3 linked regions of the Alligator mississippiensis genome follow. The protein of the gene in region 1 interacts with the protein of each later gene in a pairwise test. Links are inferred from orthologs where the notes say so. Each region holds a gene or a part of one and is shown in the gene's direction. Other genes may lie near its edges.

The links.
Region 2: the proteins of WWP2 (region 1) and FBXL18 interact in a two-hybrid assay, tested with the Homo sapiens proteins (3 studies listed by BioGRID and IntAct). The link is inferred for Alligator mississippiensis from reciprocal best matches to the Homo sapiens genes WWP2 and FBXL18.
Region 3: the proteins of WWP2 (region 1) and ANKRD44 interact in binary tests that used the Homo sapiens proteins (3 or more experiments, as listed by UniProt). The two-hybrid records come from large-scale screens. The link is inferred for Alligator mississippiensis from reciprocal best matches to the Homo sapiens genes WWP2 and ANKRD44.

What each region holds. Positions count from the first base shown.
Region 1 is NC_081833.1:76,450,425-76,454,393, forward strand, and holds the start of WWP2 (NEDD4-like E3 ubiquitin-protein ligase WWP2), read left to right. Parts: upstream 1-1,755; 5' UTR 1,756-1,806; coding exon 1,807-1,851; intron 1,852-2,001; exon of another isoform or gene 2,002-2,091; intron 2,092-3,152; coding exon 3,153-3,237; intron 3,238-3,969. Other genes in the region: RNA-binding protein NOB1, read right to left, coding at 255-449, 565-702, 795-866, 988-1,121, 1,356-1,488, 1,604-1,687. UniProt on the Homo sapiens protein: E3 ubiquitin-protein ligase which accepts ubiquitin from an E2 ubiquitin-conjugating enzyme in the form of a thioester and then directly transfers the ubiquitin to targeted substrates.
Region 2 is NC_081836.1:53,253,365-53,257,333, reverse strand, and holds the start of FBXL18 (F-box/LRR-repeat protein 18), read left to right. Parts: upstream 1-1,468; 5' UTR 1,469-1,586; coding exon 1,587-1,604; intron 1,605-2,283; coding exon 2,284-2,484; intron 2,485-3,969. UniProt on the Homo sapiens protein: Substrate-recognition component of the SCF (SKP1-CUL1-F-box protein)-type E3 ubiquitin ligase complex.
Region 3 is NC_081827.1:192,931,210-192,935,178, forward strand, and holds the start of ANKRD44 (serine/threonine-protein phosphatase 6 regulatory ankyrin repeat subunit B), read left to right. Parts: upstream 1-1,484; 5' UTR 1,485-1,557; coding exon 1,558-1,593; intron 1,594-3,969. UniProt on the Homo sapiens protein: Putative regulatory subunit of protein phosphatase 6 (PP6) that may be involved in the recognition of phosphoprotein substrates.

The sequences.
Region 1 (3,969 bases):
CACTGGGCTTCATTAGCTCTGTTTTAATGAAGCGCCAAGGCCCTTAATTAACCTCTTGCCCATTAAACTGGCTATTTTATTCCTACTTTTGGCTTGGCTTGGGTTCCTCACCTATGCTGCTTGCTCCGAGACACCCAGTTTTTTGGAAGTCCCTATCCTCAACCCCGTGAGATTCAACTTTCCTTCCCTTTGAAAAAGACCCAGTGTTTTTATCCCAAATCACACGTGCTTCGTCTGGCGCCTTCCTCGCTTACCTGCATGGCGAAGTCGGTGGTGACGCACCCGACCTGCACGTCCGCGGGGGGAGCATCGCAGCGCCCCACGTCCTCCTGGATCTGCTTGATGTTGCTGGGGGTTATCCAGTCCTTCTCGTCATCGCTGTCCTCTTCACTCTCCTCCTCGGAGGCACTTTCCTCTTCCTCCACAGCAAGGGAAACCGGATCGCCTGTCTGCGGGGGACAGAGACCCCATCAGCTGTGCCCATGCGGGCGAGATGAGCCCTCCCAGAGACGAGCAAACCCAGGCAGAAGGCAGGGACGACGGGGGCGGCGCGCCGCTGCTCACCAGCAGCTCTCGTAGGTCCTCCTCGATGCTGGGCAGGGGCTTCCTCCAGTACAGGAAGGAGCCGAACTCGGGGCTCTCGCACGGCTGACCCTCCGACGCGGACGCGAACGCAGGCGCCTCTTCCTCTGTGCGCGCGCACTGGGTTTGGACAAATTAAAGGAAGTTACCGTGCACCGCTTCCCCCGGCCCGCACGGAGCAACGCCTACGCCCGCGGGGGCGCCGAGCGTACCTTGGACGGCAGGTGAAACCCAGGGACGTGCACGGGGGCCTCCGGGTGCCGAATGCTAGAGCTCAGCTTTACCTGCAGGGCAGTGACCCGTGACCGGGCGGTCGGTTGTGCACGCTTTCACCCCGGAGTGGGACGGTGCCCTGCCCTGGGGCAGCGCTCCGCTCCGCTCCCCACCCCACCCCACCCCCCATACCTGGTGCTGGGGCTCGGCCCGCAGGTGCGCGACGCCGCCGGTCTCGGCCTGCAGCTCATAGGTGAGCGCCAGCACCTGCAGGTCGGCGGGGGACAGCGACGGGAAGTCGCCCGTCTTCTTCGAGAACTCCGTCACTGCGGGGAGGGGGGCGGGGTCAGGGCCACCCCAGGCGTCTGGGCCAGGGGGCGGGGCCAGAGCCGGGAGAGGGGCGGGGCCAGGGGGCACCCCAGGCGTCTGGGTTAGGGGCGGGGTCAGAGCCGGGAGAGGGGCGGGGTCAGGGGCACCCCAGGCGTCTGGCCCAGGGGGCGGGGTCAGGGGCACCCCCAGGTGTCTGCGTCAGAGCCGGGGGGTCGGGGGCCAGCACTCACCCAGGCGCACGTGCTCGGGCCGCGGCTGGCGGAAGAGGAGCGGGACGGGCAGGGCCGCCAGACGCCGCCGCGCCGCGCGGTCGCGGATCTCGCCCACCACCTCGCGCACCGTGTACACGCGGCGGCCGATGTCCTGCGGGGAGGCGCCGTCAGCCCCGCCCCGCCCTGCCCCGCCCCGCGCCGACCCCCCCCCCCCCCCCCCGCAGTCCCGGCCCAGCCCGGCCCGGCCCGGCCCGGCCCGGAGCTACCTGCAGCGGCGCTGCCCGCAGGAAGGCGCCCGCGTCCACCACCACGTGCTCCACCGCCGCCATCTTGACCACGCCCCGCGGCATGCCGGGAGTCGTAGTCCGGCGGGCGGCTGAGGGGGGCTGCCGCGCGGGGCACGCCGGGATCGCTATCGCTCCTCCCCCCTCCCCGCCTCCCGTTGGGTCAGGTGACCTGCCGGCGTCACATGACCGCCGCGCGCCGAGCCGGAAGTGCCGCGCCGCCGTCGCCGGTAACCGCGGAGCGGGGGGAGGGGGTGGCCGTTGGCGGTTGCCCGGGGAACGGCTCGAGCCCAGCGCGCGTTTCCCTGCCCCCGCCCCTCCCCTCCTCTCAGGCGGGCGGGGCCGCGCGGGGCGCCCCGAAGCTGGTGCGAGTCGGGCCCGGGCCCGGGCCGGGGCGGGGATGCGCTGCGGCCGTGGACACGGCGCCGGGCCTCCTTGCCTTCCCGGCCCCGCGGAGCTGCGGCCCGGAGGTGGGTGGCTGGGGCGGGGGGACCCCCTGCCGCCCCTCCCTCGCCGGCGGGCTCAGGGGCGGTCGGCGTTCGCGACAGGGAAGGCGGCTCCGCGCCGGCACAGCGGTCATTCCGGCCCTTCTCCGCTGCCAGGGTGTTTAGCGCGTGCCCCGTCCTGCCCCTCCCCCTCCCCCTCCGCAGCTCCCGGCGCCGGTCGGGCAAGCGCCAGCCCGACTTGGGTTTGCGAGCGCCGTCCCGCGCGCCCGGCTCCTGGCCGTCGCTACGCCTGCAGCCGAAGGGGCCGCCGGCCAGCGCGGCTTCCTGCGTGGGACGAGGGGCAAAGTCTGGCAGCCGAAGGCACCTGGCTCCTGATCTCGCTCCGCCCTCCCCAACGGTCGCACCTGGCCAGGCAGGGCAGCAGCGCAAAAGCTGCGTGTGAGCTGGGTCGCGATCTGCGCCCGGCCCCGCTCTGGGAAACGGGGCGCGCGAGGATAAACACGTGTGTCCGCGCGGAGGAGAGGTGACCAAGGCGTGGAGAGGCAGGACGTGATCCCGATGGGCACTGCGCTGCGGCACGGGCCCTTCCTTTCCTCCGCGTGCCACGGTTGTGCCGCGGGAGGTGCAGCCAGCGTCGCCGCCCAGCTGCCTCTGGCCCCCGAGCACGCGGGCAGCTCCTTTTCTCCAGCCAGACGGCTGCGCTGGGGCAGCGGGGCCGTGAGATCGGCTGCTGGGTCTGTGCGTTGTCCCGGGGCCCCGGTCCTTTGCGGTGCCGTCCCCGTGAGGCCCGCTGTGTGTTGCTCGCACGTGCTCAGCCTCTTGCCGGGGGCTCCTTCGTGACGCCGAGTGGGCAGGCCCGTGGGGGTCGGCCGTGGCCAGGCAGCAGCGCTGCAGCCGCTGGGCTGCTCCCGGCCTGCGGTTCAGTGCTGACTTCTGGCTGCGCCTCTGGCATCGCCAGGGTCTGCCGGCCATCTGGGAGCGACCGGTCCCAGCCCCGCCGGGGTGGTCTCATCAAACGCAGCCTTGGGCTCCCCTGGCTCCTTGTGAACCTTCGCTCATGTGTCGTGCCTGTCTTTGCTTTCCAGACCCGTGGTAATGACATGGCCTCCGCCAGCTGCAGCAGGGCCGGGGCAGGGCTGCCCTGTGAGAAATCCCAGCTCTTGCTGAAAGGTGAGTGCAGGGCAGGGCCTGGGGGAAGGAGGAGCCCTGTCCAGGCTGGAACACCTTGCTTTCCAGCCAAGGGGTAGGATGTTCCTCAGCCCTGCACTCCCTCCCGGTGCCTGGGAGGAGGTGCGATGGGGAGAAGGCTGGCTTAGCCGCGGGTGCCAGCTGCGCTCGGGGATTGCACAGCTAAGTCCTGAGAGGCACAAAGCCTTCCAGAGTCAGATTTAGCAGCTGCCTCTTGTCAGTGCCCTGATCCCAGCACCAGAGTGGGGGACGATCCCTAGCCAGGGTGGGCTTGGCCACAGGGAAGTTGGGGCCCCCGGGCTGGCCCTGGGCAGTGGCTGAGCTGTAGAAGGTGCCTCATGGGCAGGCTTGGGCAGGAGACCTAGGAAGAGCCTTTGTGCTGAGCTGGAGCTGGGGCTCTGCTCGCTCCTCGCTCCACTTGGCAAGTAGGAGGTGGAGCCGGCGCTCGCTCCCGGAGGGCCGCCAGGGGGCTCCCGACACCTCCGGCTGCTCCCCCGGCTTCTGGCCTGCCCCTGCTCTCGTCGCCCTTCTTGCACCCCATGGGCTGTAGCATGACACTGCCCCACTACCGCAGAGGAGACGCCTCCTTTCTGGGCTCCCCGACACCTCACTCTTCCCCCTGGGCTGGTGGCTGGAACCCAGGTTCCTGCAACAGGGCTGGCTTCTCGCTTTGGCCACTGCTGAGAGGCACCTGGGCCTCCTTGGGCTGGGCCC
Region 2 (3,969 bases), on another chromosome or scaffold:
TGTTGGCCTCTAACTCAAAACACTTGGCAACCTGTGAGATTAAAGATCCAAACTCCACCTCTTCTTAGTCCAGGGAGGGGAGAGCTCCCAGTCCACACCTGTGGGTCCTTCCAGGGATGCAGTCTGTAAAATCAGGTAAGACAAGGAACAAGAGGAGGGCAGTGCTTTATTCTGTGCCCTTTGCAGGTCTCCTCTGAGGAAGCTTTTATCCTCCAAAGTGTACACCCAACCCAGGCAGCTTCCTCACTCAGCAGAGCTCACCCTTGCGCTGATGAGAAAAGATGCAGCTTGAAGCTTTAACCTGGGGCCAGTCATCGGCAGTGCCATTGAACCCTGCACGTATCAGAGCAATGCCTTCACCGCCAGAGCTAGAAGATACACGAGCTAAGACCGCAAGAAGCTTACGGCCACTGCAAGTGACCTGATCGCTGTTAAGACGTGGCAGCATGCCATGCACAGTGCCTCCGGGTGCATCCCTACCAGGCAGCTGCGCTGAGGCTTGCCCCTTTGCAAGCCTCTTTGTTGGGGCTGGAAGGAGACACAGGAGCGGGGAGGCCTTTGTGCTCCTTCCCACAAACAATCTGGAAGAGACTTCCCGAGGAGGTGGTGCAGTCCCCAACCTTGGACGTCTCCGAGACGAGGCTGCGCAAACACCGGGCAGCTGGGATCGTTTCATCTCCGCGGTCTTCCTGCCCAGATCAGCGGGGTTGGACTGCACGATCTTTCGAGGTCCCTTCCAGCCCTTCGTTTCTATGATTTCCCAAAAGCACACACTGGTGGGAAGCATCTGAGCGCTTTGGGAAAGCACGGCACGGAGGTCCTCAGCAAAGCCTTCGGTGGTCCTCTGGCAACACTAGCGGGTTCGGAGGAGTCAGGAACACGCGGCCCCCCCATGACGGAGCAGGTGTCGTGCTGCGGGGTGGGCAGCGGTCGCTTGTCAGCGGCTTCTCGCCCCCCCAGCCCCGGGGTTTCAGTGATGCCAGCAAGACGCCGTGTTATGTAAGAGATGAGGACACATGGGAGAGGCCGGAGAGCTGCCGGGAATCAGCTGGCATCTCCCTTGGTAAAGCCCCAGCTCCAGGAGTCCCGGGACAATGCAGCCGCTGTGTTGCTCGTTGGCCGTTCCCAGCCTCATGACCCCCAGCCCTGGGATGACATGGGGGGCGAGGAAGGAGGACATGTTACATCTATTATTCAACGAACTGACTAATACGTGAAGACTAGCCACGTCTGCACCAGGGATCAAAGTGACCCTGGCTACACAGCTAAGAGCTGGCTGTCCCAGCTAGTCTGCAGCTGGCTTTGTGCAGTGGAGCCCCCTGCCACACCCAAGATGGCACCTGCTCGCCGCGCCCAAGATGGCGCCGCCCGTCCAGCAGCGCGTGTGCCCCTCCCAACATGGCGGCACCCGCCCAGGCGCACGCGTGCCCCTCCCAACATGGCCGCCGCGCACCTCCCTCAAGATGGCGCCGGAAGTGAGGTCAGAGGGGCGCCGGAAGCGCAGCGTGGGCCCTGAGCCGGCTGGGAGTGCGACCGGCCGGGGACGCGGCTGGTTCAAGCGGCCTCGGAGCGCGGCCGCGGGGGCCATGTCCCGCCCCAGGGAGGTAACGCGGGGCCCCGGCACCCCCGGGTCGGTTCTCCCCCTCAGACCAGGGGCCTGGCCCAGGGGGTGGGGCGAGGGGCGCCTGTCCCAGGGGTTGGGGTAGACAAAAGGTCTGTTGAAGGTGTAATCGAGAGCGGGCGGGGGAAATCTTGGCCCTTGGAAATGGATGGCGGGTGGAGAGGCTGCAGCCTCTGGGGCGGGGGCGCGCAGGTGAGGGGAGGCTCTTTCTGAAGCGGCGGCGAGCTCTCGAGCAAGCAACGTGAAGAGCGCTCCCCTTATTTTTAAGTCGAAACTAGTGGGTTGAATTCGGTGAGGGAGAGGCCGGGTGCTGACGAGGGGGAGGGGGAGAGGCAGCACCCCATCTCGGGCAGCGGTTCCCGAACTCTGGCGGGTTGCGCGGCGCCGATTTAAAACGATACCACCTTAGGTACCCCCCAAATTACTGCCCTATAAAGAAAGGATAATAAATCTGTTAACGCGCGTCACTGACAGGTTGTCTGCGTACCGCGGTTTGGGAACCGCTGATCTAGAGGGAAGCGTAACTGTGCGGGCGGCTGGAGCGCGCAGCTCGGTGCCTGAGGAGCCGTATGCCCGCTCCTCGCGGTCGGACGGGGTCTGTCCCCGCTCTTCTCTGACTCCGCCAGGTGTTTCCAAGTCAAGTTGCTCCTTTTTGCTTTCAGGACATCCTGGGCGAGGAGAGCGGGGAGGACTGCCATGTCATGGACCTGATGGGGTTCTCCGACGAGATTCTTCTGCATATCCTAAGCTATGTCCCTAGCACAGACCTCGTCCTCAATGTCAAGAGAGCCTGCAGGAAGCTCGCGATGCTTTGCCTTGATAAGAGTCTAACCCACACCGTGGTGCTGCACAAGGACTATCAGGTGGGGGAAGCTTCCTTGATGGTCAGACTGGGCAGTATAGCAGGCGGGGGAAGCTTTCTTGATGGTCAGACTGGGCAGTATAGCAGGCGGGGGAAGCTTTCTTGATGGTCAGACTGGGCAGTATAGCAGGCGGGGGAAGCTTTCTTGATGGTCAGACTGGGCGGTATAGCAGGTGGGGGAAGCTTTTTTTGATGGTCAGACTGGGCGGTATAGCAGGCGGGGGAAGCTTCCTTGATGGTCAGACTGGGCGGTATAGCAGGCGGGGGAAGCTTTCTTGATGGTCAGACTGGGCGGTATAGCAGGCAGGGGAAGCTTTCTTGATGGTCAGACTGGGCAGTATAGCAGGCAGGGGAAGCTTTCTTGATGGTCAGACTGGGCGGTATAGCAGGCGGGGGAAGCTTTTTTTGATGGTCAGACTGGGTGGTATAGCAGGTGGGGGAAGCTTTTTTGATGGTCAGACTGGGCGGTATAGCAGGCGGGGGAAGCTTTTTTTGATGATCAGACTGGGCGGTATAGCAGGCGGGGGAAGCTTTTTTGATGGTCAGACTGGGGGGTATAGCAGGCGGGGGAAGCTTTCTTGATGGTCAGACTGGGCAGTATAGCAGGCGGGGGAAGCTTTCTTGATGGTCAGACTGGGCGGTATAGCAGGCGGGGGAAGCTTTTTTTGATGGTCAGACTGGGCGGTATAGCAGGCGGGGGAAGCTTTTTTTGATGGTCAGACTGGGCGGTATAGCAGGCGGGGGAAGCTTTTTTTGATGGTCAGACTGGGCGGTATAGCAGGTGGGGGAAGCTTTTTTTGATGGTCAGACTGGGCGGTATAGCAGGCGGGGGAAGCTTTCTTGATGGTCAGACTGGGCGGTATAGCAGGCAGGGGAAGCTTTCTTGATGGTCAGACTGGGCGGTATAGCAGGCGGGGGAAGCTTTTTTTGATGGTCAGACTGGGTGGTATAGCAGGTGGGGGAAGCTTTTTTGATGGTCAGACTGGGCGGTATAGCAGGCGGGGGAAGCTTTTTTTGATGATCAGACTGGGCGGTATAGCAGGCGGGGGAAGCTTTTTTGATGGTCAGACTGGGGGGTATAGCAGGCGGGGGAAGCTTTCTTGATGGTCAGACTGGGCAGTATAGCAGGCGGGGGAAGCTTTCTTGATGGTCAGACTGGGCGGTATAGCAGGCGGGGGAAGCTTTTTTTGATGGTCAGACTGGGCGGTATAGCAGGCGGGGGAAGCTTTTTTTGATGGTCAGACTGGGCGGTATAGCAGGCGGGGGAAGCTTTTTTTGATGGTCAGACTGGGCGGTATAGCAGGTGGGGGAAGCTTTTTTTGATGGTCAGACTGGGCGGTATAGCAGGTGGGGGAAGCTTTTTTTGATGGTCAGACTGGGCGGTATAGCAGGCGGGGGAAGCTTTTTTGATGGTCAGACTGGGGGGTATAGCAGGCGGGGGAAGCTTTCTTGATGGTCAGACTGGGCAGTATAGCAGGCGGGGGAA
Region 3 (3,969 bases), on another chromosome or scaffold:
TCTCGCCCGCCACATCTTCCTGGTAAATATAATAGGGAGGCTGCCTTGCGTCTCCTTGGGCATGTACACTCCTGGACCCCTCGTGGGTCTTATCCTGCACCCCTGGGTGTTTTGGGGCACCCTAGCCTTATGGGCTACGCGTGGCTTCTACCACCCCTAATACCATGCCCCAAGCCTCGCTGATGGGAAAGACGCTGGTATGTCTTTTTATAAATATATATTGCCCGTCTCTCGGGCCTCCTCTGCGTGCTCTTGCCCACTCTCTGGGCCTCCTTGTAATGTTGCCCCTCTCTGGGGCCTTCGCAATAGCTCCCCCGCTTGGGACCTGCTACACCCGTGCTGGGCTTCTCGGTAATGCCCCCTTCCTGGGGCTCTCCCTGCGCCCACACTCAGGCCTCTAAAATACCGCCCCGTCTGGGGCTCTCTGCGCCCACTCTGGGGACTTCCCAGCAATACCCCCTGACTCTCAGGCCCACCGCGCTGCTCTCCCCTTCTCTCAGGGCACACCGTGCTGCTACCCCCTCTCACCGGGGCAACCGCAGCACTCTACCCTGCTCTGGGGTTTGCCGCAGCACTAGCCGTTCTTCAGAGGCTCACTGCACCCGCACTGGGCCTCCTAATAATATTACCCCCTCTCTAGGGCTTGCTGTGCCTGTCCTGGGCTTCCTAATAACACTGCCCCCTCTCTCGGGGCTCGTTGTGCCTGCACTGGGCTTCCTAGTAATATTGCCCCCTCTCTGGGGCTCGTCGTGCCCGCACTGGGGCGTCTCAAAGCTGCCCCTCTCTGGGGCTGGGGTCTACGTACCCCGCACACAATGTCATCTTAACCCTATCAATGACACTTCAAAACCCAGTTTAAGATGAACCCGGATGAATGTAGCATCAGATTTAACTGATTTAGGTTATATTGGTTTATTGAACTTATGTCCCAGATCCCCTCCAGATTCAAGTTAACTCAGTCACCCAGCATCCCAGAATGCCTTGTACCTCCCTCACAAACCTCCCTTTACAGGGTGGGTGGGCTAGCCTTGACCAAAGCTGTTTGCTGCAGTGAGTAGGGAGATGTGCCCTAGCACTGCCCCCAGTGGCATATTGACAGGGGGATGGGGGGGCCATGCCCCTGGGCAGTGGTCTGGGAGGGGCACTGGCTGGGCCCTCTATGGGGTATCTGGTTCTGCCACCAGCATCTCCGGCTGGGGACAGGAATAGGGTGGGGAGGAGGGGGGTGCAAATGTAAATATTGGCCCCCAGGTGTCAGAGACCCACAGTATGTCACTGCACCCTCCAGCTTCTGGCCTGGGCCCCTGCGGGCATTTGGCTGCATCTCTGGAGTCAAAGGTGAATGTCTGCTCGCTTGCATATCTGTTCAGTGTGTGCAGCTTCGATTAACCTGCAAAGGTTGAATTGATTCTGCCGGGCTTTTTCGCTGTTTGTACTTAGCCAAAATGTCCATCTATTAAAACAGTAAAAACACATTTTTTATTGTTCCTTTGTGTTTTACCTTGGCAGCCACCACTGGTTCAAGCAATTTTCAGTGGTGATCCAGAGGAGATACGGATGTTGATCTACAAAACTGAGGATGTCAATGCTCTGGTAAGTGACTCTGTAAATGTATTTATATTGCAGTCCATGAGCAAAATAAGCTGTCCATGACTTTAACATTTATAAAAAAATTAAAACCAACACAATAAAAAATAGTTAGGAACTAGAGATTCATAGCTTAAATAGTAGTTTAAGTCAGTAATTAGGATTCTGTCTCCAGCATGTGGAAGTTATTTTTTTTAACTGTACACAATAATTACTTAAAATGTCCAGGTCAATCAGGGACAGTTTTCTCCAAGTCCCTGTTGTTGTGAATGAAGATAGCTGAAAGCAGCATATCGCGATTCTCTGTAGAATTTCCCTTTATAATGAGCCTGTGCAGATCAGGGGCTTTTCTTGAAGCTATGAATATACTTAAGATAATTTCACTGGAGCTTGCAAATGGCAGAAGTAAGGGAGTTTTAGCTTGGCCAGTGACATGCACACAGAGGAATTACTATACTGCAGATTTGCTTTATTTCTAGCCTGAACAATGGTAAGCTGCTGTAAACAACAGAGGTTAAGTATTTTCACAGTGGAAAATCTTAAACTGAACTGCCCTTTTTGCAGCAGCTTTTTGCCTTATGCTTTTCCCCTTCATGTTGAATTACAGTCAGGATGTTAAAATGAACAATTTTTGCTGGCATTTTGACTATAGTCTGTGAGCTCTGGAAGACATCGGGTGGGGGGGGGGAAAAAAAGAAGAGACAGAATACTGGTGTAGCTTAGCTGCTTTAAAACTGTTATCCTTTTCCTTTGTCTTTTCCATTTAACAACATAGTAATGATTTTATTCATAGTTAATTCTAGTGGTTTGCCTGATATAGCGCACTGCTTTGGGACTTCAACTTCTGTAGCCAATATTGTCCGAATGTCCAGTTGAGGGGAGGAAGCATTAGGGAGCAGTACTTGGGTCTAGTTAAATTGGACTCCATTTGACTTGCTGTGAAGTCAAGACTTGCTTTCAACTTGCACAGGAATCAGATCAGGCGCAGAGAGAGGGGGAAACAAGATTGGAGATCTGATCTCTTTGTAAATATCGGTTCTTGGGTCCTTTGCTAAAACCCTAAAACATGCTGATTTAATATATTGGCTTTTCCACATCCCCTGGATTTCCCACCCCGCCAATGATAAAAATTAAATTTTGCAACACGTGCCATTTCTAAGACGTTCTTTGTCCTGAACGTTTTAGCTCTTAAAAATGGCATTTGTTGTACAGATTAAGATGGTTGCATGCTTTCAGGTTCCGCTCTTGAAATGTTTTTATATCCCTTGGGCTCAAGGTTGCTGGGAAATGTTGCTATGGAGATGCACTCAATTGCTGGGTAAAACATTAAATGGGTTGTGTATACTTTAAATATTATGGTATTCACAACTAATGGAAGAAAGGTCATTGGACAGGAACATTTTTATGCAAAATCATGTTCCATATAATAAAAACCTTTCCAAGAATGTGTTGACCTAGCAGCAAACCTATCTTGAGCTAGAAAATTAAATGTTCTTTGGAGTAATTAAAAAGATCTTTGCCAAGATGCATTCAGAATCATTAATTTCAAGTATAATTTCAGGTGAATCACAAGCACTAGAAACATCACTATAAGAATGGGGATGGAAGAGTGCACATCTGTTACCTGCTGTAAGCTGGCTAGTCAAAGGGACTGCCTGTAATTCTCTTTAGGATGTTTTTAAATTACTTCCATGTTAGTGTTTGAGCAATGTTGGGCTACTTCCAGCCACTTGGTAGCAGTTGTTTCTTTGTTGATCATTTCTGATTAACTGGAATAATATTGACATTTGAAAGTGTAAATACAAAGTAAGAATAAAATGCAACTGCGTTCACAGTCAGCTGTGGAGTTTTTCTTAGCTTAAATGTCATGTTTCAGAGCCCATAGCAGAGAAGCTATTAATATAGCAGAACAAAATTGGATATGAGGAAACTATGAAAAGTAAGTGATACCTAACAATAGGAAACTGTGGCAAGGCTGTGTGAGAGTTGTTGTTTTCTAAGGAAAGAGAAAATTTAACTATGTGGGGAGGGTTAGTGGTGGGGTTGGGGAAGGGAGGGGAGACTTCATAGCTAGTCTCAAGATAGCAGGACAGATTTTGTTGCTTGGCAAAATAACTGAGAGCTCTTCCTGATCCTAGAGATGTCTCCAGAAATATTAAATAAAATGGCATGTTTATACCATCAAAGGATTGTTCTAGCCTATAGCTACTTCATGAACTATGCACCAACCATATGTAATGGAGCTGCCATGATGTAGTGTTGTGCCTGCATCAGTAAGCTCACTCTCTTCCCAAATGCTTTTTTGGTGTGCACAAAGGTATCCTGGTTTAGAGTGTAGTGTTCATTGTGCAGGTATGACACGTTTTAGGGCAGTGCTTTCTA